Callithrix jacchus: one gene and its partner. Each later gene encodes a partner of the first gene's protein in a complex. Links are inferred from orthologs where the notes say so. Each region holds a gene or a part of one and is shown in the gene's direction. Other genes may lie near its edges.

Evidence for each region.
Region 2: the proteins of SMARCAD1 (region 1) and TRIM28 are in contact, whole or in part, in a crystal structure (PDB 6H3A), measured with the Homo sapiens proteins. The link is inferred for Callithrix jacchus from reciprocal best matches to the Homo sapiens genes SMARCAD1 and TRIM28. Residues at the interface, in NP_001362784.1 of Homo sapiens: Asp156, Leu157, Ala160, Lys161, Gln163, Thr164, Glu167, Leu168, Phe169, Asp188, Gly189, Ala190, Ala192, Leu196, Ala201, Gly202, Gly203; in NP_005753.1 of Homo sapiens: Arg330, Trp333, Thr334, Lys337, Ile338, His341, Leu376, Lys377, Ile379, Val380, Asp381, Val383.

Annotation. Positions count from the first base shown.
Region 1 is NC_133504.1:103,271,355-103,275,165, reverse strand, and holds part of SMARCAD1 (SWI/SNF-related matrix-associated actin-dependent regulator of chromatin subfamily A containing DEAD/H box 1), read left to right. Parts: intron 1-891; coding exon 892-1,001; intron 1,002-3,811. UniProt on the Homo sapiens protein: DNA helicase that possesses intrinsic ATP-dependent nucleosome-remodeling activity and is both required for DNA repair and heterochromatin organization.
Region 2 is NC_133523.1:51,179,163-51,183,073, forward strand, and holds the start of TRIM28 (transcription intermediary factor 1-beta), read left to right. Parts: upstream 1-1,395; 5' UTR 1,396-1,697; coding exon 1,698-2,037; intron 2,038-2,373; coding exon 2,374-2,486; intron 2,487-2,719; coding exon 2,720-2,852; intron 2,853-3,911. UniProt on the Homo sapiens protein: Nuclear corepressor for KRAB domain-containing zinc finger proteins (KRAB-ZFPs).

The DNA of each region.
Region 1 (3,811 bases):
AGATGAATGGCAGTTTTGACATTTGTCACAGCACTGTAAAGAGGTGAAGATTGTTGCAACTCTGCTTACATATATAAAGAGCAGACAGTGTCTTCGTGAAGTATTTTAGTGTATGTCCAACATATATTGGTGTTGTCATTTATAGACTAAATACTTACCAGTATCTATTGTGAAACTTTGTGCTTGACCACACTGCCTGAAGTGTACAGAGACACTGCTTCTCAGGACCTAAGAAGCAAAGCATGTTTCTTTTAAAAATGTTATTTCCATCTGAACAAAGAACTGTTTGTTGTAATGTAATTTTATCCATATATGGTATATATATATTTTTTTTTTGGTGTTTTTGTTGTTGTTGTTGTTTTGTTTATTTGTTTGTTTTAAAACAGAACCTCACTCTGTCACCCAGGCTAGAGTGCATGGTGCCATCTCGGCTCACTGCAACCTCCACCTCCTGGGTTCAAGTAGTTCTCATGCCTTAGCCTCCCAAGTAGCTGGGAGTACAGGTGTGTGCCACCATGCTCAGCTAATTTTTTATTTCTTTTTTTTTTTTTTTTTTTTTGAGACAGGATTTTGCCATGTTGACCAGGCTAATCTTGAACTACTGGCCTCAAGCTACCCACCTCAGCCTCCCAAAGTGCTTGGATTAGAGGCTTGAGCCACTGTGCCCAGCCAGTAATTTTTAAAGTACAAATATCTTTCTCTTTTCTTGAATCTTTAGGAGTGTCTAAAAGTTAAATAATCAGAAAATGTCAGCCTCAAGTAGTTGAAATAAAAGAATTTAAGGATCTGTTTGTCATAATTTTCAAGGTATTCTTTTTGAACTCTTATAGTTTAGAAATATCCAAATAACTATATTTATTAACCAATGGACATATCTTGCATTGTTTTTAGAGAAGTACTAGTTATAAAACTAATAAGTCAAGGGACGATTGAAGAATCCATGCTAAAAATTAACCAACAGAAACTGAAACTAGAACAAGATATGACCACTGTAGATGAAGGTAAGTTGTTTGTAAGCAGAAACTTCAATATTTATTTATATGACCACAATTCAAATTAGTCAGTGCAAGAGGATGACAAAGATGGCTAAAATCCTTAACTAGCTTACAGTTTAGGGATCATGTGTGATGTCAGAGAAGGTAAGCATACTTATTTCAAAAGTACTATAACTGATCATTTTTAAAATTCCTTAATTTCAAAATTTTTATTTTTATATATGTTTTTGAAAGGATAGTATGTTCAAAACCCAGATATGAAAGAACAGAAGCCTCCTACTCATCCTACTTCCCAGCTTTCCCTTTTAATGTTAAATTAATTGGAAATGAGCAATTTTTATTTTAATAAAGATATTCTTGCTAATGGTTCATTTTAATTTAGCAAATTTCTGTTCATGACAGACACTGTTAAGTCTGTTGTTAGGCACTCTGTACTACATAAAAATCAATATATCTGTCTACAGAGAGAAATATGATCATCAAATAATTACTTGTCTTTCTTTCATAGCATTTATTTCAGGGTGCTGTGGAAGCTTGGGGGGCAGGCAGTAGAGAAAGTTTGAGTAAGAAACAACTGAGATCTTTAAAATTAAGGATAAGTAGAGTGATCGTAAGTTAAACAATTAACAGTAATTACTATGCTTTGTGTGCATGTGGCAACTTGCCAATTGCAGGTGGTCCAGCAAATACAGTAAAGTAAATGCGTAAGGCAGATTCTCTTTGGGCAGTGTTTTTCTTATTATTTAGGGCAGCTTTTAGAATTTAGTAAAGTATTTAAATTCTTTTTTAGTGATACTAGCAAATATCCAGATATATGGATTTTATTCTAACAAGTTTCTCAATATAATAGAACCACAATAATTGATAATTAACTATAGTCTTTTCTTATGGGCTAGTTTATTTCCTCAGAAGGGTATTTTTCAACCTCCTGGAAAGTGAAAATACAGGTGGGGAGAGGTGATATGAGCCAACTGCCCTGAGAAGTGAAGGAGGGAGGTTTGTTCTCATATTTAAATATTAATAGTTAATCTGCCTGTTTTCAGCAGCCTCTCTGTTCTTTACTCTGCCAAGTCCAGAGTTCTTCAGACTTATGTTCTCCAAAGAGAATAAACCTTCATTCATTTTTATATGTCTGGGGCAAATGGCTGGCTCTCTTGGGCAAGCTTCAGGAATCTTACCTGTTCAACTTGTTTATAGATAACTTTATGTTTCCCATTTACCCCATTTCCTGGGCTTTGGGGGTAGAAGGGTAAGGATTCTGGGTGTGAAGTAGCCTTGCATTTCCTACCTGAAGACTCTTAAGCTTTTACTTTATTACGTTAAAATCAGTTTCCGTTCTTTACCTATCATTTTCTTCCAGAATTTGTGGGCAGCTGTCTCTCTGCTGTTGTCCTTTCTCTCCTGTCCTTTCTCTTTTGTTTAACCCCCTTAACACTTTTTCTCACATCGTATTTTAATGGCATTACAGCTGAAGGGAGCAGAGGTGATGTGTATGTTCAATCATTTTCAGTCATAATGTAAATTATTCGTATTTATATAAATTTGGTCAGTCTAAAAGTTTGCCTGTTACGTTCACCTATACTGTCTGTTAAAATAGCAGTGTATTTTTAGCTGTGCTCTCAAGCCAGTAGCTTTGAAATGTTTAATTATGAAGAATCCTGCCCTCTCCTTACCCCTCTTCCTTTCTGTAGGAAGTTTTTCTCTATCTTGTTAAAGCTGTTTACATACGCATTTTTCCCAGCGTGTATTTTATTTGCTAGACTGAGGATGTAATGGTGTCTTTTATTTACTCATTGAACTGCAATCATTTTGTCTTCAGCTGTGCCCCTGGTTTCGTTTAGGTAATTTTGACACTGAATTGATGACATATATGCCCTTTCCATCTCTCACAATGTAATCCTTTTCCTTTATAAACAAAAAGTATATTCGTAATTGAGTATGTATAGCTTTTTGTTAACAATCTGTTTGCCTCCTCTACATAAAACTGTGAAAGGTAAAGACCATGATGCCTCTCAAATATGCTTATCAGATTCTTGTGTTTCTAGAGCTTGCTTTAGTGGTTATCAGAGTACCAACAGCAGGAGCATCATCTCCTAAGAAATTGGCAATTTGAAATGCAAATTCCCAAGCCCCATTCTATACCCACTTGGTGAAAAACTCTGGCGATAGGACCTGATAATACTCAGTTTAACAAGTTGTCCAGGTGATTCTGATAAAGCTAAAATCAGAGAACCACTGCTTTAAAATAAAGATTGTGTTTTGGATTTTTTTCATTAACCTCCCTTAATGTGATTAATTGTATTAACATTTTTTACCTTTTTGAACTTTAAAAAATATATATGTTACTACAATCATGACTACATACTCTTTGAATTTTTTTATTACAGAAATAGTCATACAAAAATGAAAGCAGTGACTGGGCATGTGGTTCATGCTTACAGTGCTTATTTGGGGAGACAGGAAGGAGGATCATTTGAGCCCAGGAGTGCAAAACTAGCCTGGGTAATATAGCAAGACTCCATCTCTATAAATATATATATGTGTGTATATATACTTCATTAATTGTTGAAAGTATAGTATGAATGAAAAATACAGTGATTTGACAGTTAATGACATTTGCCGTGTTTTTCTACTTTTTTCCCATTGATCTATAATAAAGTCAACTGTAAACATGGTAATTTATTTTCAGTATCACAGCATAATTCCTGTAAGTTGGTACAATACTATTATAGCATCTAAGAAAATAAACAGTGATTTTTCAGATATTATTATATATTGCTCATATCCAGGTTTTTCTCATTTGTCCCCGTAATGTC
Region 2 (3,911 bases), on another chromosome or scaffold:
CAGCCTCATGGTTTTCAACGCGCTGATAGTCCCCAGGCGGGTCTGCCTCTACCTACAGACCCTGCTTCTCCCATTAGGCAGGATCCCTCCCCTCCAGATCCTGCGTCCCTCAGACAGGATTCTCCCCACAAAGGCCTGCTTCCTTCCCTCCTTGGGACTCCCCACTGTTGAGGTTCAGTTTTCCCACCTGGAAAAGGGTCAAAGTCAGGGTAGCTGCTGACTAAAACAAGCAGAAGGGACTCCTGGGGGGGCTGGATGGGATTTCACACTCCTTGCTCTGTAGCCTCTTGTGATTTACATTTTTTGGGGCGGGGGGACCGGGCGTAGTGGCTCACACCTGTAATTTCAGCACTTTGGGAGGCCGAAGCGAGTGGATCACCTGAGATCGGAAGTTCGACAGTAGCCTGGCCAACATGGTGAAGCCCTGTCTCTACTAAAAATGCAAAAATTAGCCGGGCGTGGTAGTGAGCGCCTGTAATCCCAGCTATTCGGAAGGCTGAGGCAGGGGAATTGCTTGGACCCGGGAGGCGGAGGTTGCAGTGAGCCGAGATCGCGCCATTGCACTCCAGCCTGGGCGACACAGCAAAACAAAAACATTTTTCTCGATCTGTTGTCCAGGCTGGCGTGCAGTGGCACAGTCCCAGCTCACTGCGCCTCGGCGTCCTGGGCTAAATGGAGCCTCCCTACTCGCCTCCCAAAGTGGTGGGATTACAGGGATGAGCCATGGCGCCCGGCCGTGATCTACATTTGATTTGTGAGTTTCTGTGTTTCTCACGACTATTATTTTTTCTTTTTCTTTTTTTTTCCCCTTCACCTCCTCCCCACTCTCTGTGTTTCTCAAGTTTAATCATAACGTGGCTAGATTCCAAAAGTCAGCCTCTGCGCTCACCCAGGAGCTGCCTCCCTCCTAGTAGGATGGAGACTCTCCTCCCCTCTCCCCTGGGCACAGCCCTTCACTCGATCCTGGCCCCGCCCACCTCCCCATCGGCCCTGCCCCCTATCCCGAACTCTTAGTGACGCCGAGGCTGGAGAGACTCTAAGCGGGACGAAGAGACGCTGGTTGAGGGGTTGGTACGAACTGCCCACGCGCTTGGGCGCTCAATGGCCTCCTTCAGTGTGGTCTGGAGGCGGCGCTGAGACGGGACTCACACTCTATAAAGGTGCGCACGCCCCGCTGGCGGATTACATTGCGGCAGTGACGTCACGTATGCCCCGCCCCGCTACCATCAGAGCCCCACCGAGGTAGGGCTGGCGGTGGTGGAGGGAACCGGGGTGGGCGCTTGCGTACTGGGGGCCTTTCCCCGCACCGACCGTCCTGGGCCCCGCCCCCGGGCGTGCGGCGCCCCTTGCGCGTGCGCGGCGTCGTCGGCGCCAGTTATTTCTGTCCCGCCCCTCAGTCGCGGCTCTTTCTGCGAGCAGCGCGCGGGCGAGCGGGTGTGCTTGTGGCGCGTGGTGAGGATTTCGGCGGCGGCTGGAGAAGCGCGGGCGGCGCCTTCGTAAAGCGAGCAAGCGGCAGCTGGCCGTGTCGCAAACAGCGTCCTGCGCGCGGTGGGCAGCAGCCCAGGAGGCGCGTGGCGGCGATCGGCCTCGCGGCGGCGGCGGCGGCAGCGGCCCAGCAGTTGGCGGCGAGCGCCTCTGCGCCTGCGCGGCGGGCCCCGCGCCCCTCCTCCCCCCTGGGCGCCCCCGGCGGCGTGTGAATGGCGGCCTCGGCGGCGGCGGCCTCGGCAGCAGCGGCCTCGGCCGCCTCTGGCAGCCCCGGCCCGGGTGAGGGCTCCGCTGGCGGCGAAAAGCGCAGCACCGCCTCTTCGGCCGCAGGCTCGGCGTCGGCCTCGGCCGCGGCGTCGTCGCCCGCGGGGGGCGGCGCCGAGGCGCTGGAGCTGTTGGAGCACTGCGGCGTGTGCAGAGAGCGCCTGCGACCCGAGAGGGAGCCCCGCCTGCTGCCTTGTTTGCACTCGGCCTGTAGTGCCTGCCTAGGCCCCGCGGCGCCCGCTTCCGCCAACAGTTCGGGGGACGGCGGGGCGGCGGGAGACGGCGCAGGTAAGTACGAAGTGGTCAGGGCTCCGGCCACCCCTCCCCCACTCTCTGCCTTTGATTCCGCCTGGGTGCAGAGATGAGGATGCCACCTGGGCTAGAGGATGGGGGCTCGGACAGGGCACGGGGAGTACTTCCTGGGTTCTGCATAGCAACGTGGGTCTGGGCCGGCCGCTGAGAATGGGACATTTGACTTAAGTTGGAGAAAAAAGGCTCGGGGAGGGGAGGGGCTGGCTCGCTGCGGGATAATGGTCGGGTGGGGGGGCGGCCGGCAGGGGGATGTGGCCGGCCATATCCTGGGTGGGAACTTGTAACAGTTTCCCACATCCCTGTCTCTCGAAGTGGTGGACTGTCCCGTATGCAAGCAACAATGCTTCTCCAAAGACATCGTGGAGAATTATTTCATGCGTGACAGTGGCAGCAAGACTGCCACCGACGCCCAGGATGCGAACCAGGTGCGTCCTACCTCAGCATCCACAAAGAGGTCTCTGCTTATGGGGAGGGGACATGTGGCCAGGAGGAGCTTTGCACCAGCTCCAGGCTTGTTAACTCCCCTTTCCCAAGGCTCTGGGTGGGCTGCCTAGGCTGGGTCCAGGGACCAATCTTGATCTCGGGTTGTATTTTCTGGAATGTAAATGTGGACCTATCAGGTTGTCTTGCTTTCTCTTATCTTGTCTTTATCTGGCAGTGCTGCACTAGCTGTGAGGATAATGCCCCAGCCACCAGCTACTGTGTGGAGTGCTCGGAGCCTCTGTGTGAGACCTGTGTAGAGGCACACCAGCGGGTGAAGTACACCAAGGATCACACTGTGCGCTCTACTGGTACATGAGGCTGAGGGGGCTATTGAAGTTGCTCTCCAGTGTGTCCTCAGCTGCTTTCCTAATGTTGGTTGCATCTGGTGGATGGGTTCTAGAGTTCTCTAGGGGGTGCCACTTGAAGGGCCTGAGGGCAGAACTCCAAAAGCAGGAAAACTGGGGTTGTGGTGTGTAGTCTTCTGGGTGTAGGTGGGAGGGAACAAGAACGGGAGACAGGGGAGACCTTACTGTGCTGCAGGAGGGTATAAAGGGTTTAAGGTTACTTATCAGGGACTTCTCAGTCTTGGTGGTGAAGGGCCCAGCATGTGCAAACAGGGAAAGGCATGGTGTGAAGGGCTTACTGGGTTAGTGGTTCGCTGGCACACATGTGGTACAAGACACTGCTAGGGAAAGTGAGGCTTTGTGGATCCATGGAGTATAAGTGATGATGATTGCTGGAAGTGTTTTAGGTTTGATTTGTCAGCGACTTACCCAGAGTTTGGTTTGGCATTTCCAGCTTTTTGTAGACATACACTAGCTTTGGTTTGGAAAGGAAATTGAGAGATTTTTGAGTCTAGCCCAGTTTTTGGCCTAGATTCCTTCCATGAGTGGCCTTTTGCTAGCCATACTGTGATTCTTGCCATCCCAGAGGATGGCATTGGTGGAAGATGGTGGCTGTGGGGCTTGAGGAACCAGGAGGGATAGGTAGGGGCTGCAGGGTGTCCTAGATTTCAGATGTTCCAGGCAAGGGTTAGGGTGCAGGAGTGGGTGGCATTGGGGAAGTCTCTTTCCCAGCTTTCGGAGGTTACTAATGTGTTGGTCTTTGAGTGGGATTATTCTGAGCTCCAAGATTCTGCTCAAGAGGGGTGTGTGACCACCGTTCTGAGGGTCCTGGTTTGACATTTCATCTTCCAGCACGAGAGGCTCTGCAAGGTTTTCTCTGGGCCCTTGGATTGTAAGAGATCCTGGTGTGGTCGGGCGTGGTGGCTCACGCCTGTAATCCCAGCACTTTGGGGAGGCCGAGGCAGGCGGATCGTGAGGTCAAGAGATCGAGACCATTCTGGCCAACATGATGAAACCCTGTCT